Linked DNA regions of Danio rerio. The protein of the gene in region 3 purifies or fractionates together with the protein of the main gene of each other region. This does not show direct contact. Links are inferred from orthologs where the notes say so. Each region holds a gene or a part of one and is shown on either strand. Other genes may lie near its edges.

What was found.
Region 1: the proteins of cdk8 (region 3) and med23 purify together in Homo sapiens (affinity purification with mass spectrometry; 10 studies listed by BioGRID and IntAct, counting the BioPlex papers as one, with this or other methods). This does not show direct contact. The link is inferred for Danio rerio from reciprocal best matches to the Homo sapiens genes CDK8 and MED23.
Region 2: the proteins of cdk8 (region 3) and med20 purify together in Homo sapiens (affinity purification with mass spectrometry; 8 studies listed by BioGRID and IntAct, counting the BioPlex papers as one, with this or other methods). This does not show direct contact. The link is inferred for Danio rerio from reciprocal best matches to the Homo sapiens genes CDK8 and MED20.
Region 4: the proteins of cdk8 (region 3) and med1 purify together in Homo sapiens (affinity purification with mass spectrometry; 14 studies listed by BioGRID and IntAct, counting the BioPlex papers as one, with this or other methods). This does not show direct contact. The link is inferred for Danio rerio from reciprocal best matches to the Homo sapiens genes CDK8 and MED1.
Region 5: the proteins of cdk8 (region 3) and med19a purify together in Homo sapiens (affinity purification with mass spectrometry; 8 studies listed by BioGRID and IntAct, counting the BioPlex papers as one, with this or other methods). This does not show direct contact. The link is inferred for Danio rerio from reciprocal best matches to the Homo sapiens genes CDK8 and MED19.
Region 6: the proteins of cdk8 (region 3) and med31 purify together in Homo sapiens (affinity purification with mass spectrometry; 7 studies listed by BioGRID and IntAct, with this or other methods). This does not show direct contact. The link is inferred for Danio rerio from reciprocal best matches to the Homo sapiens genes CDK8 and MED31.
Region 7: the proteins of cdk8 (region 3) and med25 purify together in Homo sapiens (affinity purification with mass spectrometry; 8 studies listed by BioGRID and IntAct, counting the BioPlex papers as one, with this or other methods). This does not show direct contact. The link is inferred for Danio rerio from reciprocal best matches to the Homo sapiens genes CDK8 and MED25.

What each region holds. Positions count from the first base shown.
Region 1 is NC_133195.1:2,665,439-2,669,320, forward strand, and holds part of med23 (mediator of RNA polymerase II transcription subunit 23), read right to left. Parts: intron 3,584-3,882; coding exon 3,459-3,583; intron 84-3,458; coding exon 1-83. UniProt on the Homo sapiens protein: Required for transcriptional activation subsequent to the assembly of the pre-initiation complex. Component of the Mediator complex, a coactivator involved in the regulated transcription of nearly all RNA polymerase II-dependent genes.
Region 2 is NC_133197.1:573,874-578,386, reverse strand, and holds the start of med20 (mediator of RNA polymerase II transcription subunit 20), read right to left. Parts: upstream 3,058-4,513; 5' UTR 2,832-3,057; coding exon 2,818-2,831; intron 1,489-2,817; exon of another isoform or gene 1,330-1,488; intron 342-1,329; coding exon 196-341; intron 1-195. UniProt on the Homo sapiens protein: Component of the Mediator complex, a coactivator involved in the regulated transcription of nearly all RNA polymerase II-dependent genes.
Region 3 is NC_133199.1:25,393,301-25,397,961, forward strand, and holds the start of cdk8 (cyclin-dependent kinase 8), read left to right. Parts: upstream 1-1,578; 5' UTR 1,579-1,903; coding exon 1,904-2,031; intron 2,032-4,661.
Region 4 is NC_133187.1:16,874,081-16,877,962, reverse strand, and holds part of med1 (mediator of RNA polymerase II transcription subunit 1), read right to left. Parts: intron 3,537-3,882; coding exon 3,335-3,536; intron 1-3,334. UniProt on the Homo sapiens protein: Component of the Mediator complex, a coactivator involved in the regulated transcription of nearly all RNA polymerase II-dependent genes.
Region 5 is NC_133189.1:26,390,569-26,394,917, forward strand, and holds the end of med19a (mediator of RNA polymerase II transcription subunit 19-A), read right to left. Parts: intron 3,784-4,349; coding exon 3,687-3,783; intron 3,607-3,686; coding exon 3,518-3,606; intron 1,118-3,517; coding exon 1,052-1,117; 3' UTR 859-1,051; downstream 1-858. UniProt on the Homo sapiens protein: Component of the Mediator complex, a coactivator involved in the regulated transcription of nearly all RNA polymerase II-dependent genes.
Region 6 is NC_133196.1:43,308,259-43,312,829, reverse strand, and holds the start of med31 (mediator of RNA polymerase II transcription subunit 31), read left to right. Parts: upstream 1-1,579; 5' UTR 1,580-1,719; coding exon 1,720-1,741; intron 1,742-2,237; coding exon 2,238-2,312; intron 2,313-2,497; coding exon 2,498-2,594; intron 2,595-4,571. UniProt on the Homo sapiens protein: Component of the Mediator complex, a coactivator involved in the regulated transcription of nearly all RNA polymerase II-dependent genes.
Region 7 is NC_133178.1:29,272,586-29,276,957, forward strand, and holds the start of med25 (mediator of RNA polymerase II transcription subunit 25), read right to left. Parts: upstream 2,925-4,372; 5' UTR 2,746-2,924; intron 2,350-2,745; 5' UTR 2,289-2,349; coding exon 2,164-2,288; intron 2,089-2,163; coding exon 2,043-2,088; intron 1,964-2,042; coding exon 1,839-1,963; intron 1,705-1,838; coding exon 1,606-1,704; intron 1-1,605. UniProt on the Homo sapiens protein: Component of the Mediator complex, a coactivator involved in the regulated transcription of nearly all RNA polymerase II-dependent genes.

The DNA.
Region 1 (3,882 bases), on a different chromosome or scaffold from region 3:
GGATGAGTTTGAAGGTCAAAGCCCAGAGTTGAGTCCGTTCCCACTCCAGACTGTCGGAGCTGATGAGAGCCTGACACACCATCCTGACAAACACAACACACAGATCATATAACTACTACTCGCTTCACCCCATCAACAAAAACTAAGGAGAGTTAGCGAACATTTCATCACTATTTTTTTTGTTATTTGTATATATATATATATATATATATATATATGTTCAATTAATAAATACACTTACCGGCCACTTTATTAGATACACCTGTCCAACTGCTTGTTAACACAAATTTCTAATCAGCCAATCACATGGCAGCAACTCAAAGCATTTAAGCATGCAGACATGGTCAAGACGATCTGCTGCAGTTCAAACTGAGCATCAGAATGGGGAAGAAAGGGGATTTAAGTGACTTTGAATGTGGCATAGTAGTTGCTGCCAGATGGGCTGGTCTGAGTATTTCAGAAACTGCTGATCTACTGGGATTTTCACACACAACCATCTCTAGGGTTTACAGAGAATGGTCCGTCAAAGAGGAAATATCCAGTGAGCGGCAGTTCTGTGGGCGCAAATGCCTTGCTGATGCCAGCGGTCAGAGGAGAATGGCCAGACTGGTTCCAGCTGATAGAATGGCAACGGTGACTACGTTTACATGGGCACCAATAATTCGATTTTAATGCGATTAAGACAATACCCTGATTAAGAGTCGACCATGTAAACAGCTATTTTTGATTAATTTAATTCGATTAAGGTCATAATCGAACTAAAGACAAATAAAATTAAGACATGTGGAGTATCCCGATTTTAGTCGCATTATTAAAGTGCATTACAGACATGTAAACACCTTAATCGAATTATTACCGTCATGTAGGGCGCACTCACACGCACACACACACACACACACATGGCTGTTTGACACTCTTTGCACCTACCGAGTCAGTGCAGACCACAGACACCTGCCTCGTGGAATGCGGAGCTTTTTTTTTCTTCCATTCAGCATGCGGTATGAACTTCCATTAAAACAACAGTCTTCCAGCAGCTCATAGTTGCATCCGTTTTATCACGGAGGGAAAGTGAAAGTGCCAAACCGCAGTTAAAGTTGACAAATTAATAATGAAACACCCGAAATTACATGAAACTCTGGAGGAAATGCGGATAGTGCGGTGACGCAATGACGTCAATCTAAGTATGTGCTATAACATGTAAAACGCGATCATGAAAGAAACATTCAAAAAGCAACTCACGTAAACGCCTTAATCGTATTATTGTCTTAATTAGATTAAAGCAAATAATTCGATTACTGATGTCCATGTAAACATAGTCAGTAACTCAAATAAGCACTCGTTACAACCGAGGTCTGCAGAAGAGCATCTCTGAACACACAACACGTCCAACCTTGAAGCAGATGAGCTACAGCAGCAGAAGACCACAGCGGGTGCCGCTTCGCTCAGCTATTAACAGGAAACTAAGGCTACAATTCACACAGGAAAATTCCCAATAAGTTTGATGTGTCACATGACCCTCTTCCTATTGAAAAAACAAAATTTGGATCCAAGATGGTCGACTTCAAAATGGCCACCATGGTCACCACCCATCTTGAAAAGTTTTCCCCTTCACATATACTAATGTGCCACAAACAGGACGCTAATATCACCAACCATTCCCATTTTATTAAGGTGTATCCGTATAAATGGCCCACCCTACCCTGTAGATTTTTTTTATTACTATACAGGGCTCGAAATTAACTTTTTTACTTGGTAGCACTGGTGCTCCCAACTTCAAATATTTAGGAGCACCAGAAAAAATTTAGGAGCACCCACCAAAAATGATTAAGCACCGCTGCAAATTGTATTTTAAGGGATTTATTGTATTTTAAAACAACATCCATTAGGACTAACAAAAAACAGAAACAACTATAACTATTGCTGAGATGACATTGATATTTGTGTGTAATAATTCCAAAATGAATGGTGAATAAATATAAAATATTAATGATGATGAAAATGACAATAATAGTAACAATGAATTACATTTGTCATCATCATGCTGCCTTGAATGTGCTTGAATGCAAGTTTTCTGCTATAAAAAGTCTGTTACTTTATGAAAAACAAATGTATAGTTTGCATCAAACAAAAATTAAGCACTGCAGTAAGAAATATTTATTTTGTACTGCTGTTTATATATGCATGTCAGTTTAATAAATAATATTTCTGCTACCAAAAAAAAAAAGATTATAATAAATAATTAAATTCAAGGCTGAAAGCTGCAAAACAGTCATCAGTAACTAAATAAAATATATATATATATATATACACCTCAAGAACGAATAGACAAAAGAAAGTAAGTAAAGTCTCACTTCTATCACTCTTAAGTTTTAGTTTCAGTTTGTGTAAATTTAAAGGTTCAGTCTGAGCTGATTTTTTTTTTTCTGTGTTAGTGGAAAAGCAGGCGAGTCAGCCGACCCAATTTATGAGCAGGTTGAGCAGGATTCTTGCGGTGACCACCGGCGGATTACCGCTGTTTGTTATGAGCCACAGTTTTAGTGTAAACTTAGTAAAGGCGAGCTTCTTTGGTGATGATATGTACAGTATTAGATTTGACTTTTAGCGGACATTTGCACTGAACACGCAGTGAATGCAACGCATCGAGATTCGATCGCTTTCTCCGAAAAGCACGTACTCGATTGATCTCAGCTGGCGGATCAATATTTACCACGTCATGATCTCTCATCTGCGCCTCAACTTTAGGTGGGGTTTGCAAACCTGCGTGCTTTAAGTCTTCACTCTTAAGCCGTTTGCATTTCCCGTGGTTATAAAAGTTCCTTCCCTGTCATCTGACAGCGGAATACCTTGCGTGATTGACAGCTAATATGAACCAATATAGCGGCAGCAGGGAAGAGCGATTCAGCACGTTTTTAGAAAAAATCAAAATAGGTCGCACTACAACCATTATCAGCAGTCGCACTAATGCTCCCATATACATTATGAGGTCGCATAGATTAATTTTCGGGCGCATATGTGACCAAAATGGTCGCAATTTCGAGCCCTGCTATATAAAATCAGCCCAATCAATTTAAACCTATGAATTTTTCCAAATAGAGCTAGTCAAGTCATCTGGTAAAATTGTATTCATATCACAATATATGTCGCAGAGAAACTAAATATTACAACGTCAGATTTTTCCAATTTCGTGCAGTCCTAGTCATAAGTGTAATTTTTTTTAACACTGAGATTTATACAGGGTGAACAACTCATCTTTCAGCTGATGTACGCTTTGTTAGGATAGGAGTTAGTTGAGGTTAAAGTCTGAATCATTTTAGTTTAACTGTTAAGAAATGGAAAAGACCATGCTGTTTGTCCTGGGTTGAGTTGCATTTCTACTAGTGTTCTTAGCAATATGGTGTGTGTGTGTGTGTGTGTGTGTGTGTGTGTGTGTGTGTGTGTGTGTGTGTGTGTGTGTGTACCTGGGTGGCAGCAGGCTGGTCTCCACCGCCATGGCCAGACAGTCGTAGAGGAAGGCGATGCGTTTGGGGCTGTGCTGACCATGAATGAAGCGCACGATCCACTGCACACACTGCTCATGAGACTCCTGCAAGGACACCAACACACACACCGCACATTTACAGCTCACACAACATCTCTTCTCCCTGACTATCAAAAACTACAATGTTTTAATTCCTGTATACACAGGTGAAGTCAGAATTACTAGCCTTTAAATGTCACTTTAAGCTGTATAGAAGTGTCTTGAAAAATATCTAGTCAAATAATATTTACTGTCATCATGGCAAAGAGAAAACTAAATCAGCTATTAAAGATGAGTTATTAAAACTATTATGTGCAGAAATGTGCTGAAATAAATCTTCTCTGCATTAAACAAAAATTGGGAAT
Region 2 (4,513 bases), on a different chromosome or scaffold from region 3:
TATTCTTTTCATTCTATGTGTGACATCAACTAAGGGTTAGCGCAAAAGTAATCTAAATGTAATTTAAAAAGTAGTCCGGATACATTACCATAAATGTGTAATCTAACTGATTTATATTACTGACTACACATTTTGTCATGTTATTTTAATCTGTAACAGAATTTGGTTTAAGTAATCCAAGAGTTGTGTTTTTACCGGTGGCATTTCCCGTAGCGTGATACGTCTCACAGTCCACCCAGAAGTTCCCCTGTTTTACGGCTCCCAGCTGCTCCAGCTTCCTGTGGAGAAGATCCACCGTCTGCTGGACGCTCTTACCCTCGGCCACTGGCACCTGACAAACACTGACACAAACACACACACATTTGAGACGTTTAATTTATTTACAATTAAAAACAGTTTCAAAATGGTAGTTTACTAAAGCAAGATCATTCTGATCAGTGTAAACATCAATAAAAATAAATAATAAAAATAATTGTGCGAGTCTGTGTGTGCATATGTGTAATGTCTGTCTATCTAGCTATATAGATAGATTGATATACTTGAGTAATTCACCTATGAAAACCAAACCCCAGGGGTCCGTTCTTCGTACATGCATTACTCAGTTATTATATAACGGATTTGGTTATTGACGATTTGACATGTTCCAGGATCGTTACGCTCTTCAAAACTCATCTGAGAGCTGTTGTCCTATCAATAGTTCTGGTAGCTCAAACCTGCTGGGGAGCAGCAGCTTGTTTCATATAAACAGGATAAGATCGGTTCAGTTCAAGCAAAGATAATACTGAAACTATGTAACGAATTCTGATCTTTTATTACAGTAGTTATATAGTTATATACACTTGGGAAAATAGTAAATATATTTTTTAACTATATATATATATATATAAGTTAAAATATATATAAATAAAACTTATGCAATCTGCACTCCGAAATAAAAGTACAAATACTGCCACCTGGTGGATCAAAGAGAAAATTAATGCAACCTTTTTTTATAAAGGAATAATACATTCATGCAGGTATTCGGTAATATGACTGGGATTTAATGCCTTCAAAAAAGTTGCAGACATCTTTACCAATAGTAAAATGCTTTTGTGATGCAAAATTAATTTAAACATCCTGTTAATCTTTATACCAATTAAGAAACCGGCTACTATAATACTAATATGGCGACTGTAATAAGGAAAATCTGCTCTAACAATAAAATAAATTGCTGAATACTCTTGACACATGAATGTGTAAAAAAGCCTGCAGCTCACAACAAACATGGGAAGTTATTGTGTGTCATATTTAACAAACCGTTTACTAAGAATTTTAAATAATTTTGCTCACATGGAGAATTGAATATTGATCAGATGATGTCATTGCGCTGCTGTGCCGTCAGCCAATCGCTGCATTGCTGATCATGATTTTGGGGATGGATAAATCTGCCCTTCACAACACACGCTGATCTCAGATGTGCATCCAGACATTTTAATCTAATTCACGAACCTGTTTGAGGAACCAAATTAGCCAGAGATCAGTTATCAAGATGAACAGATCAAGGATCTGCCAAATCATCAAGATCATTTAAGCAACGTACGGACCCCAGCTCAGCATTTCTGTTTGTTGTCAAAACTGACAGCTGGAGGGGCGTGGTTATGAATGTTAGCCCCGCCCATTGCCTAAAACCAATAGTATCTGGATGCAGCCTTTGTGATGCAAGCTGAGATTGCATCTCTTAGTGATGCAATGTCGGACACAATTGAGCTAGTGAGGTCACTTTGAGGGGTGGGGTTAGGTGAGCACATTAAAGCTGCAGTCACACTAGAGCTTGCGTGTGCGAAAGTCCGCCGTACGGCGCTGCGAAAAGGGGCGGGATTAAACAAGATGATTAGGCATTAATAAAGCGAGTGATTGCTGCATGTGTTTCATTTCTGTCCAGAGAGCTCATGTTGATCCTCGATTGGTCTCCCGCAGTCAAGTGATGTGATTTCGCAGGTCCGACTTCACCAAGGTTGAACTTTGCACTGAAGTGACCTGCGAAACTTGACGCATGACCCTGCGTTTCCAGTCTGACGCATTCGCGTGTATGAATGAAGTCTATGGTGAGAAAAGCCCAGTGTAAGCACAGCTTAAAGTATTGGATGCAGCTCAGATTGCATCTGCACCAGGTCTGCAGCCAGACCCCTCTCTCAAAAACACACCATCTGATAATTTAACTGAAAACAAACAGGAAGAGCATTTTCAGATTTCAATTAAAGATTAGAAGGGCAAACTATTACATTTTCTCAATAATATGCACAGATGAATTATTCACCACAGAACTAGCACTGTGAGCTAACAACAACAACAAGGCTAGTTTTCATTTCATGGGCACTTTAATAAATTTTAAGACCCCGCGGACTCCCTGAACACTACTTAAATGAGTGCTTGTAAACTACAAAACTTGTTAAATGTTTTTTTATATGTTTGCAGTAAATGAAGCTGATAATCTTACACTTTTTTTTATACAAAACTTCGGGAAAACCTCGTCAAATATCCTTATATTTCATCTTAAATGTTAGTTTGAATGAACACGTGCACCTGATAATAATAACAGGCCTTCATTGTGTTCTACACAACACTAATAACAGTTTTGTAAAGTACTTTTAAGAGTGACATGTGATGTAAACATGTATAAAGCAATAAATAGACTGATGAATGAGGAGCAAAAGCCTCTCTGTGCATTCAAACAGCGCTGAACGGGAGCATCAGGAGCACCAGAGAGACTCAAAACAAGCACAACTGAAAATATTAATTATTTGAGGACAATACTTTATAAACAAAAGTGTTTCTCACCACGTTACACCCATTTCTTCGAGACAAACTTCCGCAAGCCGGGGTATTTACTTCCGGATCACTCGAGTTTGCGTGAAACACGCGAAATCAGTAAAAGTAAAACACTTAAATTCGATAAAATAAAAATATTAACAATCATTAAATTCATGTAATATAAAAACATTAGCCGCGCTAAAAATGAACAGAGCCGAGATCTGCCGAGCCTCGAGCGGAAGTAAACAGTGTGACGCAGCGCCGCTCTGGGATCAGTAGTTCTGCGCGCTCCAAAACAGCGCTCATCTCTCCAACTGCTCTCAGAGCAGCACTACAGACATATATCTATGTATACACACACACTCTCAGCGCCATTGCTCTCAGACCCACGTGTGTGCAGCTCTCCGCGGCGCGTCATGTGTTCAGACGCGATTTCACACTCATAATTCCTCAGACAGACAGGCAGATAATACTAATATTGATAACCGTCATCATGCCGAAGGTGAAGAAGGCCTGGAGCGGCGGCGCGGTGCCCCTGGCCGAGCAGATCCTCCAGCGGGACTCAGTGCGCTGCAGCGGCCGGCAGAAGCAGCGCGGCCGCGGGCAGGAGGAGCAGCAGGAGTTCGTGGATGAGAAGCTGAGCCGGAGGATCCTGGAGCAGGCCCGCAGACAGCAGGAGGAGCTGCAGGACACAGCCGAGGAGGAGCGCAGGACACCGGCGACCAGACTGGGTGAATGCTGCACTCACTGACTCTCTCTCTGTCTGTGTCTGTCCTGTTTTACCAACTGTCTGTCTGTCTCTCATCTGACTGACTGTGTGTCTGTCTCTCTGTCTGTTTATTTGTGTATCTATATGTCTGTCTATCAAACTATCCGTCAATCTGTCTGTCTGTTCCTCCATCTTTCTATCCATCTGTCTATGCCTCCATCTGTCTCCGTTCGTCTGTTTCTGTCTATCCATCTTTCTGTCCATCTGTCTATCTCTCTGTCTGTCCTTCCATCTTTGTCGGTTTGTCTATCCCTTCCTCTGTCTTCATCCGTCTGTCCATCTGTCTATCAATTTTTCTGTTTGTCTGGTCTGTCAAATCCTGTGTCTGTCCATCACTTCATCTCTCTCTTTCTAGCCATCTGTCTATCCATCTTTCTGTCCTTCTGTCTATCCCTTCATCTGTCTATCCCTCTGTCTATCCATCTTTCTGTCCTTCTGTCTATCCCTTCATCTGTCTATCCCTCTGTCTATCCATCTTTCTGTTCGTCTGTCTATCCCTCCATCTGTATATCCATTTTTGTGTCCGTCTATCCCTCCATCTGTTTATTTCTCTATTTTTCTGTCTTTTTGCCCATCTGTCTATCCCTCCATTTGTCTGTCCATCTGTCTAACCCTCTGTTTGTCTATCCCTCCATCTGTCTGTCTTTCTATCCCTCTGTCTATCAATCTTTCTGTCCTCCTTCTTTCTATCTCTCTGTCTGTCTTTCCATTTTTGTCGGTTTGTCTATCCCTTCCTCTGTCTTCATCCGTCTGTCCATCTTTCTGTCTATCTTTCCATCTTTGTCCATTTTTCTATCAATTTTTCTGTTCGTCTGGTCTGTCTAATCCTGTGTTTGTCCATCCCTTCATCTCTCTCTTTCTAGCCATCTGTCTATCCATCTTTCTGTCCTTCTGTCTATCCCTCCATATGTCTATCCCTCCATCTGTGTATCCGTCCATCTTTCTATGTCTCTG
Region 3 (4,661 bases):
GTTTAAGCTGGATTTTTCAGCAGGGATCACACTACACTTTGAACTTTATTAGTATTTTATTATGCCATTAAATGATTTTTGCTGTAAATATGCCTGCCAATATACAGTATGTGTATATAAACTATTATACAACGAGTTACGTTTTAGTGTGTGTCTTCTGTAAATCATGATAGACTAAGTATAAATAATAGTCATCGCTTTTATTGTTTTGTTTTTGCTCAAAAGAAATATAGTTAAACATGACACATTCTGCTGTACAAAAATACAATTTAAAGCTGTATCACACTCATTGATTTGATGTTTGGAATGCCTTTTAGACTTTTTTCAAATTAGTATTTAGCTATTATTATTAAGATTACTACTAGTAGTAGTGGTAGCATCAGTAATAATAAAGTTATTATTAGGTTCTTTCTAAATATATTTAGGGTTTGCATCACAAAGATAATTTCATCTCAACTGATGATTTGATGTTTGGAAATGCCTTTTAGCCTTTTTTGCAAATTAGTATTAAGCTATTATTATTCTTTAAATTATTAGTAAGTAGTAGTATAGTAATATCAGTATTATTAAACTTATTATTAGGTTCTTTCTGCATATATTCATGGTTTGGATCACAAAGATAATTTCACTCCTAATGCAGAAAAATTTAATCATTATTTTACCATTTTTATGTAATTTTTTAAACAGTACGTTTTTGATTGAGGGTGCGTTTTATTTGCAATGATGTTTATATCTACCTTTGCAATTAAACATGATTTTTAAAAGTTACTTGCAATATGTTTTTTTCAATATTTGTTATATTGATTATGGTGAGGCAGTTTACATTATAATTACTATATGATAAATCAGCTTAGGGAAATTTTTAATTGTTTAATTATGCTGTTTTCAAATAGTCTATAAGACACTCTTATTGTCACTCTTATGTCCCCTTTGCTTCACATGCACCAACCACTGCACTAAGGTTCCACAGTGAATAATAAACATTGGTAAATAAGTACATTCAATCAGTACCCCACAAGAACACACATTACACCATTTATGGCTAGATATTGATGAAATATTACTTGTTGAGATTTATTAAATAATTTTTTTATTAATTAATTTGAACCTTTATTATTCAGGGGTCGCCACAGTGGAATGAACCAACAACTTATCCAGCATATGTTTTACATAGCAGACGCTCTTCCAGCCGCAACTCAACACCGGGAAAAACCCATATACTCATGCATTCATACACTTATACTACGGCCAATTTAGCTTTTTCAATTCAACTATAGTGCATGTATTCAGACTGTTGGGGAAGCTGGAGCACCTGGAGGAAACCCACATAAACATGGGGAGAACATGCAAAACAAATGTAGGGGGGCACATTTTATGATTGATTTATTACAAGGGACCCCAAGCACCCAAAAATAAGGGTAAACCATTTTTCCCTCCTAAAACTAAAAATCATGCCATAGAGGGTTAAAATGCAAAACATGCTATAAAACTGAAAAACAAATCCATTCCTAAACAAAGGGTTAAAATCCACGTGGTGCGCCACAAAGCCTCGACGTCTGTGGGCTTGGGAACGGTTTCACGACGCTTTGCGACACTGCCGTACGTGGACGCTCAACTCTCCCGGGTGAGATACCGGCTGAGCGGCGCAGTTGCACAGAAATATCAAAGAAAGCGACTGTTAGTCCAATAACACTCTGCACTTTGTGTCGGATCAAAAGCACACTCGCTCTACACGTCGTTTCAGCCGCCCGTGATCGCTCGCGGTAAATGAGGACTCTTTAATCGAGCTCAGAGCGACGCGAGGGAAGGCAACTAATTGTCTAAACGGGGCTTGAAGTAAGTTGCCTCCCCAGCGGCGCTTTAAAGGGAAGCCACAGCCCGGATCCCCAGAATCACGCCGAAAATGGACTATGACTTCAAAGTGAAGCTCACCGGGGAGAGAGAACGAGTCGAGGACCTCTTTGAGTACGAAGGATGTAAAGTTGGACGGGGGACTTATGGCCATGTGTACAAAGCGAAGAGGAAAGATGGGTGAGTTTTGCACGACGGACTTAAATGCAGCGATATGAGGCCTGCGCTCCCGTCGCGTTTTTGACCTCTGAAACACAACCAAAACACACCGAGCGCTTTTGCCCATTGGTTCGGGGTTTTAGAGAGACACGGCAGCTGATGTGAGATTGATATGCAGGGTTCACGGTTTAAACGCAGGCTTATTTTGAAGGGATTGTGGATGTACGTCAGCAGCAGCAGGCACAAGTGTTGTGATTGACGAGGCTGTGCTGTTGTGATGGGAACAGGTGCGGCTGATTTGTGGGTTTTTTCTTCGTGATGATGAAGACGAAGATACTTTTTACGAAGGCTTGTTTACACCGGTAAACCCGAAGCCTCAATGGAGCATTTCTGCTACAGATTGACTCCTGGTATTAGTGGCTCTGATGTTGATGCATGTTTTATGTCAGTGGTTCTCAAAGTGGGGTTCGCCGGACAATGACAGGGTGTCGCTTGCGGATTTCCAAAAGTCAAATAAATTTATTAAACTCTTACAGGATATCCGCAAAGTCTTAATTGTCAAAAGCAAAATTTTAGCCCCTAAACAGTCTTAAATCTACTGAAATGTTGTGTTTTGTAGGTCTCAAATCTATTTTAACAGGTCTTAATTTTCTTTGTTCATGTATAGTTAACCGATCTAGCCATTAACATCAATGCAATCACCAACAATCCACATCAATTAAACGTAAACTTTTAATTTAAAAATAGCATTTAATTACTTTCTTTACAGTAACATACATTTGATTAAAAGTTCTCCATTTATTTACTGCTGAGGATACTGACCTGGCCTACATATTTCTATTATTATTTATTACTATAGACTGAAGTAATTGACAGCTATGTTTTGTTCTGTTCTTGGTAAGGGTTATAGGGTTTGTGAATGGATAGATTTGACAATTAATACAAAAATAATAAAACACAATTATTATTATTGTATGTTTAAATGTATACAATTTTCATCATTTTTGATAGGGCTAGAGAAAATTTCATTCATAATGGTCTTAAAAATGTCTTAAAGTCTACAATTTAACTTGGTGAAACCTTCTATTAGAATTACCGTAATTAACCATAACCCACAGAAGATAAAAATAGTAGGTTATTGTTACATAAAAAAGCAACAACATGCAAATAAAAAGCCATCAGCCTTTTAATTTTTTCTTGTTGGATTGGTGCGTTTATTTTAGATGAACACAACAGTAATAGCATCAGCTGCAGCAGATTGATTTCATATCACCACCTTGATCTTGACATATCTCTGACTCTGACAATTTTGTGGCAATTGAATACATTAAAATATATACAGGCTACTGACAGGCTGGTCTCCAAAATTAAACCAAGAACAGACTTGTGCTTAAAAACACCGGTCTCATTAGGTGAGGTTAGTATTAAACACATTCATAAATGACCATATAAATTATAGCCTATGGTTGTTAGACTGTTGCAGTTTTTTGTGTTGTCAATATGCTCGTGTTTAACAAGGCCTATTGTTGTGTGTACAACGTTTGTATATTTATAACCACCTCCGATGAATCTGGGGATCATGAGCATTGAGGGAAAGTGTCAACTTGTTGTGACATGCTCCCTATAGTGTTTACCATCAAAATTTTAATATTCGGTCTGAAATCACATGCAATTATTACTTGAAAACAACATTAGCACTATTTATATGACTTTGAACAATGTTGTTTCTTGATAGTCTTTGGCTGCTAATATGATATTACCATTTAGATTTTGCAAAGAATATTTTTGTAAAATTATAATATTAAGGAGAAGTCAGAATGTGCGAATATAAAACCTACTTGACCTCAATGTTGCAGGCTTTGTTATTTTGGGGGACGCTGGCTGAAAAGTTTGGTAACCCCTGTTTTATGTAGATAAAATGTTGCATCATTGTGTTTGTCATGCAGAGAATTCGAAATAAGGTCATGTTTCACTAAAATGAAGTAGGTGATAGTTCCTAAAATAAAATTCTGCCATCGTTTACTCAACCTTTACTTGTTAGAAACATTTTTTTTCAGTTGCACACAAAAAGAAGATATTTTGAAACATGTTGGAAACCAATAGATTTTTTTCGTACTATTGATTATAAGTGTCTACGTTCTAGGCATGGGTCAGTATATTTTTCTGATGTATGATAAACTTGTATAAAAATAGCACAGTTTAAAAGTATTGTGATTACTGCTCTAAATATATTATTTTTAAATGTCTGGCTAAAAACTTTTTTCCCCTTTGAACACAATATATTTTAATTTGGGAAACATTTACAAGATTTATGAGCAGTAAACAAATCAGGGTAAATAATTCAAATCAATTATTGACTTCCAGGGATGCTTCTATCAGGATTTTTGCAGCCATTACAGTGAACCAATTCTGATGCTTCAAGATTTATATTGCATAAAGCACATTTTCCCTCTAAATTTGGTCCTTACCTAAGAGAATAAATTAAGGAGGCAGCATATAATCCCTTCAACGCATCTCTTATAACCATTTAGGTGTGCAATTTCAATTCGATTTCAATCAATTTCACAACCCTAGTTGCTGGATTATAAAATTATAGTTGCTTATTCATTTGTATTCAATGATTTTTTTTTTTTTGCCGTTTCTAATGCGTT
Region 4 (3,882 bases), on a different chromosome or scaffold from region 3:
AGCACATGCCTTGCCTTATAAGTCTGGCAATAGTGAATGTGTACATACTTTTAAGACAATTTGTCCAGTCATATCCAGAAACTTTAATATATGATGTTTTTTTTTTATACCAGTTGTTGTAATTTTATTTGAGTGTTAAATTCTTATATTTCTTTGAGATTTCTAGAGATATTTACAAATAAATATATTTTAAACTATTTGTGGCTATTTTAAATAGGTAAATTTATTTATACATTTAAATCAATAATATTAGTCACTGTGAAAATGTATTTATTTTTTGCCAGTTTAATGAGTATCCAGAGAATTTTCCAGATGTTTCTTAAATAGCTATTAACAGAGGTGCAGATTGTTTGGGGTTATAGAGAATAGAGATATAAAATAATATCATCTGAATGAAGAGAAATACTATGGTTCATTTGACCTATTTTTTGGGGCAAAATCAAGGGATTCTTTTTTGATAGCAAGGGTGAGGGGCTCAATTTTAAAAAGCAGTGATGAAAGAGCACAACAGGTGCCTCTATGTGACTGGAACTGAGATGATCAAGTAAAAAGAAAATCCTTACCCAAAAAAATGCATATGTCACCCAAATTAGACTCTCTAATCACATCACAAGATATAGTCGCACTCCATTTGGTCAAATGCTTTTTTTGCAACCAATGCAAGAATTGAAAGACTGATTTTAGAATCAGATTTGGTGTACAAAATACTTATCTGCCTGACATTAAAAAAAATAAAAGAAAGAAGAGAACATAAAAGAAAAACAACCAGGAAAAAATCCAGATTGGTCAGGATGAATATTTTTTCCTAAGCAATAGTTTAATCTATTAGCAAGTATTTTTTTTATTATTATTATTTTTTAGAATTAAATAAATGTTTGCCGCATGAAAGGGATTCGGGGAGCCTATGCTCATTAAATTAATGGTTAAGTATCCTTAACAGCAAAGGGGATTTTTTTAATGAAAAATTTATACTAAAGCCATCTGGGCCAGGTCATGTAAGATTTGTTAAAGGAATATCAGCCCTGTTTTTAATTTTTTTTATGGATAGCACTAGTGGCTTGAATTACCATAAGCTTACAAGAAAGCAATTTTTAAGGTGTATCCCCAATTTCAAATTGCTTTTGTTTAACTTGTAACAACATATTGTTAACTTGGTTAGAAAGAATTAAATTATATTCCACTTTGAGTGTAGTAATTTCTTTAAACCTATCCAAATCTAAAGAACCCCTGTATATATCTAACCGGTTATCAAATTCTACAAGACGTTTTCCCTTTGTTTCTTAAAACTGGACTCATAAGATACGTTTCATCTTAGAACTGCTTTTAAGCTTTCACATAACAATAAACTGGGAACCTCACCGATGTCATTGAATTTAAGAAACTCAGCAAGCAGCTCTGTTAAATACAAAGCCAGGCTTAATTTTGGCTAGATCTACAGAGATTGTGACTGCAGAATGGTCAGACATTGATGTATTATGATGTTTCATTCTTTTAACACAAGGAATAGTTTTGGACTAAACTAAAAAAAAAGTCTATCCTGGAATATGATTTTTGGACATGTGAAAAGAAAATATACTGTTTGTCCAACGGGTATCTTAATCTCCAGATATTAGCAAGAACCAAGCAGTAAATGAGATCTTAGAAAACAACAGTAAAATTAGAAAGAGGTATCTGAACATAATGGAAAACTGTCAACGGCAGGATCTAAAACAAAGATAATAAAAAAAATAAAAATAAAATCACAGCCAATAATCCAATTTGAATTTAGTGTAGTTGGTCAAAGATCAATGATATTGCTAAAAATTCACACACATAGACCTCATCAACTCAAGCAACATCCACACTCAAGGCCATATTCTAACGATGTGTTCACACAAGATGCAGATCAGATGAAGAGTTAAGCATTTAATTCAATCAAATGACACAACGGAAACTGAGCATTTCAGTGTTTGGTCCTCTTAACGTGTAATTCCCACAAATCTCTCAAGTTCACGCCATGTTAACCAATCACGCCGTGTTACCCAATCAGGAGCTTACTCTAGTAGTGGTGCGATTATGAAGTACTGCCTGTAGTTGGTGTCCTGAAGGAAAATCCTCCTACCGACACGAGACAACAGGTCATCAAACTGGTAACGGCTTGGTCAAAAGTGTTATGATTAACTCTTCTGTCAGTGTGTAGTCAGCACTGCCATAGAGATGGCTCCCTCACCCCAATCAGCACACCACTTGTGCCGATCAGGGGACTGCTGCAGCTCACTGAAAGAGGAGTACACAACTGATGCTGTTGAGGCAGATGGCCGGCATGATTTCATAATGAATCCTCTCCCATCCCGACCCTTGAACGGTACCTCACTACGCATGAATCCTGGACTTTCTGCACTGAACGCACCACCCTATACTTCCCCGCGCACATAAATAGCATATAATGTATGTATCATCATTACAAAAACTGGCAAAGACTAGGCTATAGCCTCTTTCACACATACAGAGGTTGTATGTGTGAACAGGTCCTTTTTGAAAATACCGGTAAATTCGTTCTGGCTATTTTCCGGAAAGAGAAGTTTTAACATTACCGGCAATTTGCCGGAATGCTGCGCTGTGTGAATGCAGAAGGAAGATTCACGTAATAAGCGCGTGCACGTCTAGAGCGTGCTGACGTGAGACGTCTGCTTTAGCCAATCACAACAGTCAGACGCATTTACGTCCGCGCGGTTTGTGAGGATAAAAGCCTTTGAATATTTTTCCAGACACATTTAGCTGCTAGAAGTTAGTCAGATCACGTTTATATGTTCTTCTTAATGCCAACTGTGTAAATAATCATCGATGAAATGCTTATGATAAGCCGTTGTTTGTTTACCTTCAAGCTTTGCGTGCGCCTATGAGCGCCTGCACACGCACATATTATGAACATCTTGATAAACGAAAGTGATCCTGCGAAAGTTGTTCACAATATTGATCATCCACAGAGTTTGTAATTTAGTCAAATGTTTACAAATACAAGTGCAGCCATTTAAAGCTCATTTGTGGTGAATGATGTCAGAATTTACCGGTATTTTGGAATGGATGCGTGAATGCTCTTTTCCGGAAATTTTCCAGAAATTTACCGGTATCACTGTGTGAAAGGGGCTAATATCCTTAATCCAATGACGGAAACTAACAAAATCGTATGTGGTTACCTTGTTTAGCTCGATACATTTCTTGAAAAGTACACTGCAAATTCAGAAAGCGCAGGGTTTTTGCAATGTGCAAAAATGGCTATACAGATTAAAAAAGTGCAAATAGAAGTTTTCTTTTGCAAACACCTACAGTCACACATAGTATGAAAGAAACCCACCTTCCTTAATGCAGGCCTTTTTAACGCAACTGCCAATCAACGTGTTGTAAGCAGCCTGATGTCTTATAATGTCAAGGAGAGCAGGCACCTGAGCAGGATGTCTGAAGGGAATCTTGGAAACCAAAGCTCCTTGAAGAGACCTTCCATCTTGTACTGGAGCATCACCATTTAGGAAATAACAGTGCTGCTGTCCTGGTAAAGACTAATTAAATAAAAAGACAATTCATGGAAAAGGTTAAAATGATGTACCATTTTTAATGTCACGGGATTCAAAATATGACAAAACATAATATGTGTGCAGTTTTAATTGACTGTTTAATTGACTGGAAGCATGTTCTATTCAGAATAAATTGGCAGTTGATAAATCGGTTTAGATGATGAAAGACTTAGTCCTTAGTCTCTGATAAGTTTTTATTTATACTGTGATTTTGTCTCGGATTTAATCAACTTGCTTTATCTCTAAAAATGGAGCAAACCACCTATTAAAAAAACAAATGTAAAATTAAAATAATGGTTTACTTGTAGCTAGAGGTGGGTGACGATTCTAC
Region 5 (4,349 bases), on a different chromosome or scaffold from region 3:
TAATGAGGCCGACAATGAAGCAAAGGCTGTGTCTTTGCACAGGTTCACGTTCTTGTTGTCCCGGTCGGTGAATAGTGATTATTTGCTCTTTGGAGAACAGCGAGAGCATACGCATTCGAGAGATGCTGCGACTGCGAGCTTCCTGTTAATCACATGACCTTTCACACGAAAACAATTTCAACTTTAATGAAATTTAGATTTTTTTTTCTTTTCAGTGAAAATGTTTAAATATTTAAGTACTAAAGCACCGTCAATAAAAATAATTAGTAAAATGCTAATAAAAACTATTTCAGCAAGGAAACGGATCACGACTGGCTGGTCTGAGTATTTCAGAAACTGCAGATTTACTGGGATTTTCATGCACAACCATCTCTAGGGTTTACAGAGAAAATATTTAGTGAGTGGCAGTTTTGTGGTCTTGTTGATGCCAGAGGTCATAGGAGAATGGCCAGACTGGTTCTTCTAACTGATGGAAGAAAGGCAACAGTAACTCAAATAACCACTCATTACAACCGAGGTATGCAGAAGAGCATCTCTGAACGCACAACACATCCAACCTTGAGTCGAATGGGCTACAGCATCAGAAGACCACACCGGGTGCCACTCCTGTCAGCTAAGAAAAGGAAACTGAGGCTACAATTGGCACAGGCTCACCAAAATGGAAAATAGAAGACTGGAAAAAACTATGCCTGGTCTGATGAACCTCGATTTCTGCTGTGACATTCGAATGGTATGGTCAGAATGTGGCATCAACAACTTCAGGCTAGTGATGGTGTAATGGTGTGGGGGATATTTTCTTGGCACACTTTATGATCTGTTATTGTGAACAAAAAAGAAAGAGTGTGTTTAAAGACTGTATAAAGAATAACAAAGTTTATTCCTTGAGCTTTTCATCATAACCAGAAAAAGAAGTCAAAAATCATCAACAATTGGCCCTTGTAAACATCAATCAACCGCACTGGTCCATATCAGATTCTCTAACACAGTTCAACATCACTTCATGTGTGCAAACATACATACAAACAAGCACACTCGCACACACACAACTGTTCTATCTCAGGCTGTTGCTGTTGGGTTGAGATCCAGTAACACCAGGATGATCAGGACTGTGTCGATTCTAAAAGAAAAGAGGGAACAGACCAAGACCTTTTAAATGCATTAACAAGACTAAATGGGGTGTACTTTAAATGTGACAGGTCCCAGCAATAAACAAGTAATTATTCTACAACATAATTAAGGTATCAAGTAGATTCTAGGGACATATTCTACACTGTGCAGACCATCGATTTGATTTTGAATGCCACTAACATTGAGCATTTAATATTGTGTTATAGGGATGCGCAATATTGGAAAAAATATATCTCTGCAATATATTTTACAATATGAATAAAATTTCACCAGATGACTGTCTCTATTTGGAAATAATTTATAAAATTAGATTCTTATAATTACTATTTTTAACATTTTTGGGGTCCTCTGGCACATTTTCATTGTGGTCTGTGCTATTTGCAGTGCATTTCTGTATTTGCATGTGTTGCGAGTATTTTCATGCACAACAATCTATAAATACAATCAAGAAAAAGATACAAATAAAGTGTTTTAATACAAATAAAGTGTGAGTCTAACAGTATTCAAGTAAAACTTGAATGATAAAAATAAAAAATAATTAAAAATTAATTGTTGTTAAAGTCACAAATGGTACAATTTCATATAGCTGAATGTTTTTAAAATCATTTATACAATCAGCGGCATCAAAAACACATGCAAATGTGCGATGTGACTATAGCGAATGATCACATTGTGATATTGATGCTGAAACAATATGTTGTGCAGCCCTAATGTGTTATATTTTAATATTATTTATAAAATGTTATACTGCAAAATACTGTCTTGTTTCCTATTGTGAATAACTTATCAGTTACTTAAATCAAGACACATTTATTGAGAAGCAAGATGTCTAAAGTAAGTTTGAAAATTTATTTAGTTTTAGTAAAAGATAAAAACAATGATTTTATTCAAATAAATTTAAGAAAAAAAATTAAATCACACACACATGCATACGGTTTAAAGCATAAATGAGTTGCAACCCTTTTGGAAAATTCCTATTTTTTTTAATCAATTTCTCTGTGAATCGTCAATATATTTTGGTGTTGTATCAAACTGTTATATTTATTCAAATTAAATTAAATCGCCTAACGCATTCAGGAATAGAGAGACAGAAAATTTGTACAAAAAGTTTCTCATTAAAGGTGCAGTAGGTGATCTGCCAAAATGCTAACCGGTTAGCATAATATCTTAGAAAACAGTCCCACCCCTATTTTTCAAAGCCACGCCTCCTGAAATCACAAACACGCACTGCAAAGATGACAGTAGACAGCCCACTAACTCTTGTCATTCGCCAGTTGAAAAACTTTACAATACTTTATTACTGTAAAGTACAAAATACTGTATTATATCCAGCATGTTTTCAGTCGTGTAGCAAGCAAAACTTGTCATAATGTGCAATATTTCATCCATACAAGGATCGTTGGTCTCACTCTCTCCCACGTTTTGTCCTAAAGCCACTACTGTATGCTTAGTGGTTGGCTGGCGGGTGCAGGAATTACACTTTCGTGCATATAACACATCCGTGAAACAACAGAATCTACATCAGCTTTGTGTGACTTAATAGTTTTAAAACAGAACATGACCTGTCTAAAAGAAATACTTCAGCCATGGTCTCGTTCTTCCTCCAGCATAAAAACTAACTTCAATATTGATTCAGGATTATAAAGTTTTGTTTCAGCATTTGTTTTTACTGGTCGCGCTCTCTCTCATGTGCACGTGAACGCACGTGCACACACAAACGGCAGATTTGCACGAATAGCAGCGCAGATGTACAAGTCTACATTTGTTGACAGACAGTTTGGGCTACTTATCAGAATTATGGGAATTAACATTTTTTAGTCTTATGACTTACCCAGAATACAAAAATACATGTAAATACATTTAGATCATTTAATTTAATCATTACTATAGGAATGTGAAGAGACTTTCAACCTGCACATCAAAAAATGTTTCTGTAGACAATCACCTACTGCACCTTTAATTAATTTGGCTGGTCTCATTTTTAGACCGTGATGTTAAGTCTTTTTGTTAGATCAGTTCCAGTCTTAGCTTTAGTACTGACTAATCTAAAGTATATATGCACAACTATATTAGTGTAAAATATTCATGTAAAAGAGGGCGCATTCATTAAGCTTACACATCCTTTTAAATGTAAAATAAACACAGTTTACTGTTGAAATAATATTTGTGTGAAGCAAAAATGATAAATAATTATAAAGAGCATTGTTCAAGGCTGCTCAGATGTTACACCAAAGCAAAGCTGCTTCCTATGTGTATACATTTTTAAAATTTTAATAACGCATTATTATTTATACAGGAACATCCTGTAGCATTCAACCTTGTTCAACAATACACTTTTTAATTATTGTAAATTTGTAAGATTCTGCGCCGCATCAACAAAGTGGCTCACCTTTTTTTTCTTCTTGTCTTTCTTTTTCTTCCTGCGTTCAGGTTCATTATCTTTCTTTTTCTTCTTCTTGGTGGGGTCAGTGCGGGTTTCTGCACAGGGAAAGGAAGTTAACATGCATGTGGTGCACAGAGGAAATAAAATGTGAAAATCCATGAGCTTTTGAAGTGACCTAGCGGTAGAGGATCCTGAGGGTGATGATGTCTGTGTTTGTGTTTGCTCTTCTTCTTTGGTGGCTGTATGTGCATCAGTCTGTACTGCTCAGGAAGCTGCAACACAAACCAACACTATAAAGATGAAGCTCAAAGAACACATTTAGATTGCTTTAGAAAATATGCTGTCTACATCTTGTTTAAAAGGGGACCAATTGTGCAAAAATCCCTTTTAAAATGGCTGATTTATACTTCTGCGTGATCGCAGTGATCCACGGTGCCTGCCTTGCGGGTAGTCGTGCATTTATACTACTGTATACATGCTGTTTGTGTTGCTCTGCAATAACACTTCCGTACACTTGCTGGCAGTAGGTTATGTTCCTCTGTGTCGAGTATCTTCATGGGTATTTCGTTTTTTCTGAACGCTACAAGTAGCTAAAACTCACTCATTAAGTGGCTGTTTAACTGGGAGAAAAATAAAGTGTCCATTCTAGTAATCTAAACAATGTGAATTTGATATGAATTATGTATATCTATTAATGTTAAAAAATAATTATTGCCATTTCAGAAGACTTCAGGATTAAAAGACGGAGAGTGAAAATAAAAATCTGATGGAAAACACATATAAACTGAGATTTACAAGTGCCACTGGCCTCTTTCTCTGGCTCAAAATGCTTCAAGCC
Region 6 (4,571 bases), on a different chromosome or scaffold from region 3:
ATAAAAAGAAAGAAAGAAGGAGAGAAAAAGCAAATAAAGAACAAGAGCGGGTTTACAATTACCATAAAAAAAGAGGAGTTTTGTTTTTGGAGTAGATCCACAGTTGCTTTATGACTTGAAAATCCTTTAAGATTATAAAAATATTTTTTTTAAATCAGCTTTGAAATGAAAAATGTTAGGCTTTCTCTTTGAACAATAACACTTGTGTATATGAAACTTAATAATATCAAAAGATTTAACATTAACAGGGGATTCTTATCTATATCTTTTTGATCTACGCATCTGACATCTCTTTTTCTTTAAATTAATTCTGTGACCACTTAGTATATTAAATAGACATTCAACATAAAGCCAGAAATATTTAACATATATACAATCAACAAACAAATGCATAAGAGTCTCAACATCCACTCCGCAAATAAACACAAATTCAGAAAGATCAACTTTTGATCATCTTTTGAGAAATTGGTTGGTTGGATATATTTTATGTATAATTTCACTTTATTAGTGACACAATACTTGTTGTTATAAGTCCAGATCAAGTTCCAATAGATATTCTCAGATTATTCCAAAAGTATTTGTGTCTAAAAGTGGCAAGATAATAAATCAAGCGTCTACAAAATTTATTATTACATTTTCTATCTTTGAAATCAACACCATGTAATTAAATCTCATTTTTAACTGTTAGTTTATTTGGTTCACTGTAACTCTGCAAAAGCCCCGCCAGGCCTTGTGGAGGCACAGGAACTAAACTTCTCAAAAAAATTCAGTAGCCTATAAGTCAGTAAATATCCTTCATCTTTTAAGCTGTGAGACCAATAGAACACCTTTTTAACCAAATTATCATGGAAAATAGATTTTTTTTTCTTATATTCCAAGTCACAAAATGTATTTTGTAGGCTACAAATATTACTACGAAAAAAAAAGGTGCAAATGCCTCATAAATACTTTTTTAAAATATTGCCTGAACTTTATTCGGCTTACTTATTTGTTTCTAAACATTTTGATATTCCGAGTAGTTGTACATTTTGTGGTGAGGATGATGAAACTTTAATACAATTATTTTGTATGTGTGAATTTGTTCAGAAATTTTGGTTTGACCTTTATCGTTATTAAACACTCCTCCTACCTTTGCACAATATTTTAGTTTAAAATAAAGTGTTTGTTATTACTCAGAATAAATCTGAAGAATTTGTTTTCAACTTTTTATCTTGTTTGGAAATATTTTATACAAATATGCATTGTTTCAGTCCCTACTTTTCGACATTTTCTCATTAAAGTTGACTCCTGCTCAAATCTTTGCGTACGTGTAACAACAACAAAAAATGTGTCAGATACTTGGCTCTACATGAAGAACTGTTGACTCTGATTTGAGTTAAATAGCTCTTAATTAATTTATTTTTATACAATTTTATACAAGTGTAATTTACTTACCCCTTACAAATGTAGTTTGTATTGTTCCTATTTTGTATCTCTCTTATATTGATCTCCTGATTGTGGTTGTAAGTTTTCATTCTTTATTATTTAAAAAAAAGGTGCAAATGTCGTGAAACACTTTTACGACAGCAGCACTGGTTTTATGGCAAAAATGGCGTCAGCGGTCTATGTCCGCATAAACAATGAGTAATGTGTTGTTTTTGGTAATCGCGCTCTAAAAAATCTTTTTATACTAATCATTTTCCAGATATTTCAGCGTCGTCTGAATTCTCGTTGTCCGTAATGGCTGGTGTTATGGAAACAGGTTTGTTAAAATTAGATTGAATTGTTATTTAGCACATCTTTGCCCACGAGATTCCTAGCAATGTGACAGTTAACGTAAATACAATTGTTTGGTAACGTATTTTAGTTTCGTTTTGATCATATTAAGTTATACAACGTTTTAGAGGTACTACACTATGTGTTATTTTCTGTACTGGCGCAGATATATGTTGTTCAAGCAATTTCTGTAACACTTAACATTAAGGTAGTATCGTCGTTAGCCAATGTTTGCTAACATGAACAAACAAGAATCGTTATATTTATTACAGTGTTTGTTCGTCTTTGTTAAAAGTATTAATGAAATAAAGTAATCTCAACTTACGGTGCATCAACTAATGTCAAGCATGAACTTGCATTTTAATTATGCACTAATACAAGTATTGTTCGTTGGTAGTTCATGAATACATTTACTAATGATTATTTGTATTATTTCTTTTCAAACACAAACATTGCTTACGCTTCTATTTGTGCTTTGACAGACGAGCAGGCGAGACAGCGCTTTCAGCTGGAGCTGGAGTTTGTTCAATGTCTGGCAAACCCAAACTACCTGAACTGTAAGAACAACGTTAACTCTTGTTTCTTTTTTACTGTTCGCTAAATTCAGTCATTACTTTAGTCATTGGTCAAATTCACTCATTGGTTGTTACATTCTGTAAATTCAAGGTAATTTTGTTACTGTGGTCGAAATATGAAGATGGATAATGATTATTAATCTTAATTTTTTCCCCCCATCCTGCAGTTCTGGCTCAGAGAGGTTACCTGAGAGAGAAGCCTTTCGTCAATTATTTAAAGTATCTGCTTTATTGGAAGGAACCAGAATATGCTAAATTTCTAAAGTAAGTAACATGTTGTTCTTGTTGAAATAGATTGTTAATTTGTCAAACATTTCTTCTTTGGATGATGAGTGCTTCTAATAAAAGCATGAAAGAAAGAAAGAAAGAAGGATATAAAATTTGTTCAATATCGTGTAGTTCTAGTGCATAATATTTATTAGTTATTTATTATTAGTTATTTATTAGTTAGTATTATTAATTATTTATTAGTTTACTAGTTATTTTGTAAAATACTATTATTCAGCTTAAAGTCCTGTTTAAAAAATTGACTAGCTCAATTAGGCTGGTCATTTGACAGCAGTTGTTTGTTTTGTAGACAGTCGAATATAAGAAGTTCTTAAGGGGGTGAAAAATATCGACCGTAACGTTTTAAGAAATTTATTCTTTTAATGCCACCAGAATAAAGAAATGAGACATTCTATATAAGTTAAAACGTAATAGTTTAGAATAGAAATATAAATATTTGTTTTGCTAAACATGACTTGGGAAAATATTTGAAAAGGAATTAAGAATTTTACAGGTGGTCTAATAATTTAGCTGTATATAGTTGTATTTAAAAATGTAAATTGAATTACAAGTTTAGTATGTGTGCCTAATCTGTATGGAACAAAATTAATGGCAAAAGTATTGAAATAAAAAGTTTGTTGATTAGCATTAACTGAAAAAAAATAATGCATTGAATAAGCAACTGCTTGCATTTTAATGACTTGAATTGCAAGAGTTTGTATTTTTAGGGCCTGAATTTTAACACGGCTGTTTATTTAAGCTGTGAATATTTCAACTAAAAATATTTTAAACATGTTTTTATACTTAAAATTTCAACAATTCATATTCAATTTCCAGATTTCATATATATATTAAAAGTTCAATTTTTAAATATATAATACTGGTGAAAAATATGAAGCATAATGTTCAAAATTTAACTTTCAGTTTGTTTACTTTTCAGTTTAAAATTTTGCTTCCAAAAATTCAGTGGTTTAAATTTGGCTCTTAAAATTCGACATTACTTCCGGGAACTGCAGGAACAGCAATAGATTGCAGATTGGCAATCTCCAGCTGCTTTTTCACTAGCAGGTGGACCAATTTAAGATTTTTAAACCATTAAATAAAGGTTTAAAAACTCCCTTTTTAAGGGAAAAAGCTAATAACAGCACAAAAGTAGCATTTAATATTGTCCTTGTTAAATTTTAACAGCCGAATTTGATCCACTAAATTAATGGAAGAGAACTTTTGAACTGAAATAAAGTGAGTTGAAAATTGTCTTTTGAATATTATACATGAAATCCGGAAATTAAGAATTATTATTTTTAAGTATAAAATAAGTATAAGAATTTTCAAGTATAAAAACGTGTTTGAAAAATTTTTAATTGAAATATTTACAGCTTAAATAAACAGCTGTGTTAAATTTCAAGACCTAAAATTACAAACTCTGGCAATCCAAGTCATTAAAATGCAAGCAGTTGTTAATTTAATATATTATTTGTTTCAGTTTGTGCTATTCAATACGTTTTTTTTTTGTTTTTGTTTTTTTTAACAATACTTTGATTTTGTTCCATAAATCTGCAGTTTACATAACCTAAACTATAAAGTTATATTATTTTATTTGTCAATATAAAGCAAAAACAGACAATATGGTGCCAAATTGTAGGTCGCTTACCATTAGTGCTGTGTGATACTGAACAGAAAAGATTTAAGCATTCTAAATAATTCAATGCAATATTTTATTAAAAATATCAAATCAATGAAATATTTCATATGATTTCAGGGAAAAGAGAACATCACTACAACTTCTGAAAGTGAACAGCCATGTTTAACAGAAACATTCATTCTTTCAATAAGAGATAAGCATTTACCGTCATTTCTACAAGCTCTGATAGGTTTACAGATGAAGCATAGCACACTGTTTCCTGCTGACTTCAAACATATTATCTTTGAAGCAACATGTGGTTTATAAATATGTAACTTTGGCAAGGCTCATAG
Region 7 (4,372 bases), on a different chromosome or scaffold from region 3:
TTGTTGTACTGGAAAGAACTCTGCACAAATTAATGTAGACTGATAAACTATTATATTTTTAACTATATGATATTCACGACTATGTAAGTCTTATGATCCCTTCTTTGCTAATAAAGGACTATAGGGACATTCTAAGCACAGAATGAGTCATCTGGGTGAGGTAGAGTTCCTTCACATCTCACATCTCCAATACTTTGCTTTCCACCAAACACAATTTATCTACTTGTGATCTCCTTTTATGTCATTCTGTCACATTAAGTGTCATTTGATGTTTTCTAATGAATGATTAATCTACTAATGTTTAGTTATGACCCGAGGATAATATTGCATACTTTATAATGCATATTTACATCTCCCCCTCTTTATCTCCTCACATTTCAGCTGGTTTTGGGGAATGGTATTTCACTCATGCCTAGAAATGTATCTGTTGTTCTCTGTCTTTGCTGCATAGCAGAGCAAAAATCAAAACTAAGCTTTTTTGTATACATTATGTTTAGGGTAGCATATCATATTGTTTGAGCATCAATATCACAGTGTGTGTGTCCGCAACAGTCAAATTGCAGGATTAAATTATTTATTAAAGAGTTAAAGATAAATTATTAAATATTATTTTTTAATAATTATTGAAATGATGACCATGTTATTTTATGCTTGATTGTTCAATTTCTGTACCTGAAATACTGTTAAACTTTCCAGAAAATTACAAAGTATGGTTTATTTAACTTTTTTTCTGGCTCTATTGTGTGTGTGTGTGTGTGTGTGTGTGTGTGTGTGTGTGTGTGTGTGTGTGTGTGTGTGTGTGTGTGTGTATATATATATATATATATATACACACACACACACAAAGAGTTTAGAAACAAAAACCTCTAAATACTGTCTGAAATTGTCCTCTAAAATGTGCATTTTTAATCAGGCTCCTGTGTGTATGTTCAGTAATACCAATTTTATGGCAAAGAACAAGACCTTTTCTTGGTCTTTAAAGTGAAATATCTCAACATAAACAAAGAAAGCTGAAAAAAAAAATTCAAACTTTTGATAAACATTTCAGACGGCACTCAGAGGTTTTTCCATCTGAATATATATAAAATAATTTATGTATATGCAGTGCATAGAAAAAGACCTGATCATCATATTATCTAAATGAATAAAATCTTTCTAAATAGAGCTATTCAATTCACCTGGTGAAATTGTACTCTTATCGCTATATATATTACAGAAAACAAAAAATATTGCAATGTCTCATATTTTCAATATTGTGCAGCCCTAATAATGTTGATATATTTCATTCTACTGTCTGTATATTAAAACATGTAACTTAACATGAAATGTTCTTTCTTTTACAGCTTTAAGATTATCTCTCTTTATCAGTGATGTTAATAACTTTAACAGTGTTTGATTAATTATGGTGGAGTCAGACAAATAATTGATTATTACACACCATCCTTCAACTGCTTTCTGTTCTGATAATCTTTATAAATAGTGCTGTGTTCAAAGATTTTTCTTGTATTTACATTTCAAAAAAAGTCATTTTAAAATACCTTAAGCAAGCTGATTAAACCCTCAAAAGCAGATTTGTGATTTCATAGAACAAGTTCAAGAACTCACATTTGCTCCCTCATCTTTTTGAAGTCGTCAAAGAGCTGCAGGGCCACAGAAAGACCCTCAGCTATAAGACTGCAGCTCTCTGCTCCACCTCCCATGAACCTGTGCAACAACAAAAAAAAACTGTTAAAACTGTTCTCAGTATTTCAATCACAATATCTTTAAAGCAGACATTCACTTAAAACCTTTATCCCAGACTTCCTGACATAAAATAGGATTACAATGGGATTCCTTACTGAATGCTGTCAATCCAAGACACAAACTCGAAGGCAGAGCTGGTTGGAGCATGGCACTGGACATATGACTCTGGAGCACAATCCACTGTGTTGAATACCACCAGTCCATACTGAGTGCCACCATACTTATAAAACAAACAAGATCATCAGAATTGAGATGGCAGAAATGTAAAGAGAAGGTATAAACAGACTCCTCCAACTCACATCTCCTCCAAAATCAGTTTCAGCCGGTGGTCCTCCATTAAAATACCTGTAAATATATTAAATAAGTCAGTTCAAGTGTCTAACAAATGTACTGTATTGTAATGAATGTCATAAATCTTACTCTATAGTAGGCAGTATGTAATTATTCCGAAGTGATTCAAAATATGGACCAAGGTTTGCAGTTCCTTCAATGACAAACACCACATCTGACACCTGATTCAACCCAGATTTGGACGTGGGGTCCATATGGGTCACCTTTGGTCTACAGCCAACACAGATATAAGATCAAACTCATATAGAAGATTTGCTGGAATAAAACGAAATATTAATGTTTTATAATGTTTTATTGATGAATGACTTTATATTGGTGTTATTTGCTATTATTTTAACATTATTTCCATTCTAAATGCAAGTAAACCAAACCAAGACATACATATTTGGCTGTCTTAATACCTAACGTTAGTAATACACATAAACAATTTTTTTTAACTGAATCATTCATTATGTCCGTGCCAAAAAGCCTAAGAGACTTATTTTAGATGTGATATATTTGTCTTATCATTACCTAATTAACGAGTAAATTCTTAAAAACACAATATCAATACAAATAAATTAAAATGTAAAACGTGAACACTATCCATTCATACAGGTCTTAGCATGCTAGCCGCTAACCTCAAATGCTAATTTAGCTCGGGTGTCTTACCTGCTAGAATTAGTAGAACTGGCTTTTACTGTGAATAAAACAAACCGGTTCAGTCATTTATCTTGATTATATCCGAACCAGCCCCTGGTAGTTTTATTGTGTATTAAAGCTTCATCTGAAAGTAAATGTAGAGCGTAATGACAACAAACATCGGGATTTTTGGCTCGGCAATCGACAGTACGGTCTGGTTTTAGATCTTGAAAGTGGACTGGGCTGGTGAATCGATTTATGAATGATCAATTTAGAAACCAACAGCAGCGACGTCCTTTTCAGTCGTCATTCTTTGTTATTATCATCCTTATTATAATCATTGTTATTTTTGCGGTTTAAACACGGACATAGCCATTGTATTGTTAGATAATAAAAAAATAAAATAAAATAAAGCTTAAGAAAGTAAGTGGCTTCGTCGATGATCATAACAAATTGCATCATCTTTATTATTATCAATGATTATCATTACAAATTATTGTTATTAATTATTATTATTATTATTTAAAAGTTTTCTGAAACAAAATGGGCATTTTAAGGAATATATTTAAAATTGCCTTAAATAAATTAATTATTTAAATGTTTTCAATGATGGTAAATAATTATAATCAATATTATTTTAAGGCATAATAATAAATACAATTATTATTAATTATTATTACCAATTATTATTATTGGTGATATATCATTGATATTATTCTTATCATTATTATCTATTATTATTATTATTGTAATTATCTAAAGGCTTATCTAAAATGACCATAATTATTTTAAGAAATAATAACAAGACTTTTTTATTGTTACCAATTTTCTTTATTATTGTTGTTGGTATTAATATTAACTATTATCATTAATTAGAATTACCATTTTTATTATTATTATTATCATGTATTCTTTTTCTTTTTCTTCTTCTTATTATTATTATCATGTTATCTTCTTCTTATTATTATTATTATTATTATTATTATTATATAAAAGTTTTTTAAGCAAAATGGGCATGATTCAGTTTAAAGAATCGGCCTATAATCAAAATCATATTAAATAAATTCATTATTTAAACGTTTTCAATAATAGTAAATAATTATAATTATTATTATTATTTTAAGGCATAAAAATAATAACAACAATTATTATTACCAATTATTATTATTGTTGGTATATCATTAATATTATTCTTATCATGATTAGTTATTATTATTTTTCATTCATTTATTTTCTTGTCGGCTTAGTCCCATTATTAATCTGGGGTCGCCACAGCGGAATGAACCGCCAACTTATCCAGCAAGTTTTTATGCAGCAGATGCCCTTCCAGCCACAACCCATCTCTGGAAAGATCCACACACACACACATTCACACACACACACACTACGGACAATTTAGCCTACCCAATTCACCTGTACCGCATGTCTTTGGACTGTGGGGGAAACCGGAGCACCCGGAAGAAACCCACGCGAACGCAGGGAGAACATGCAAACTCCACACAGAAACGCCAACTGAGCCGAGGGTTAAACCAGCGACCTTCTTGCTGTGAGGCAACAGCACTACCTACTGCGCCACTGCTTCGCCGCTATTATTTTTATAATTATCTAAAAGCTTTATGAAATAAAATGAGCATGATTCGGTTGAAAGAATATATTC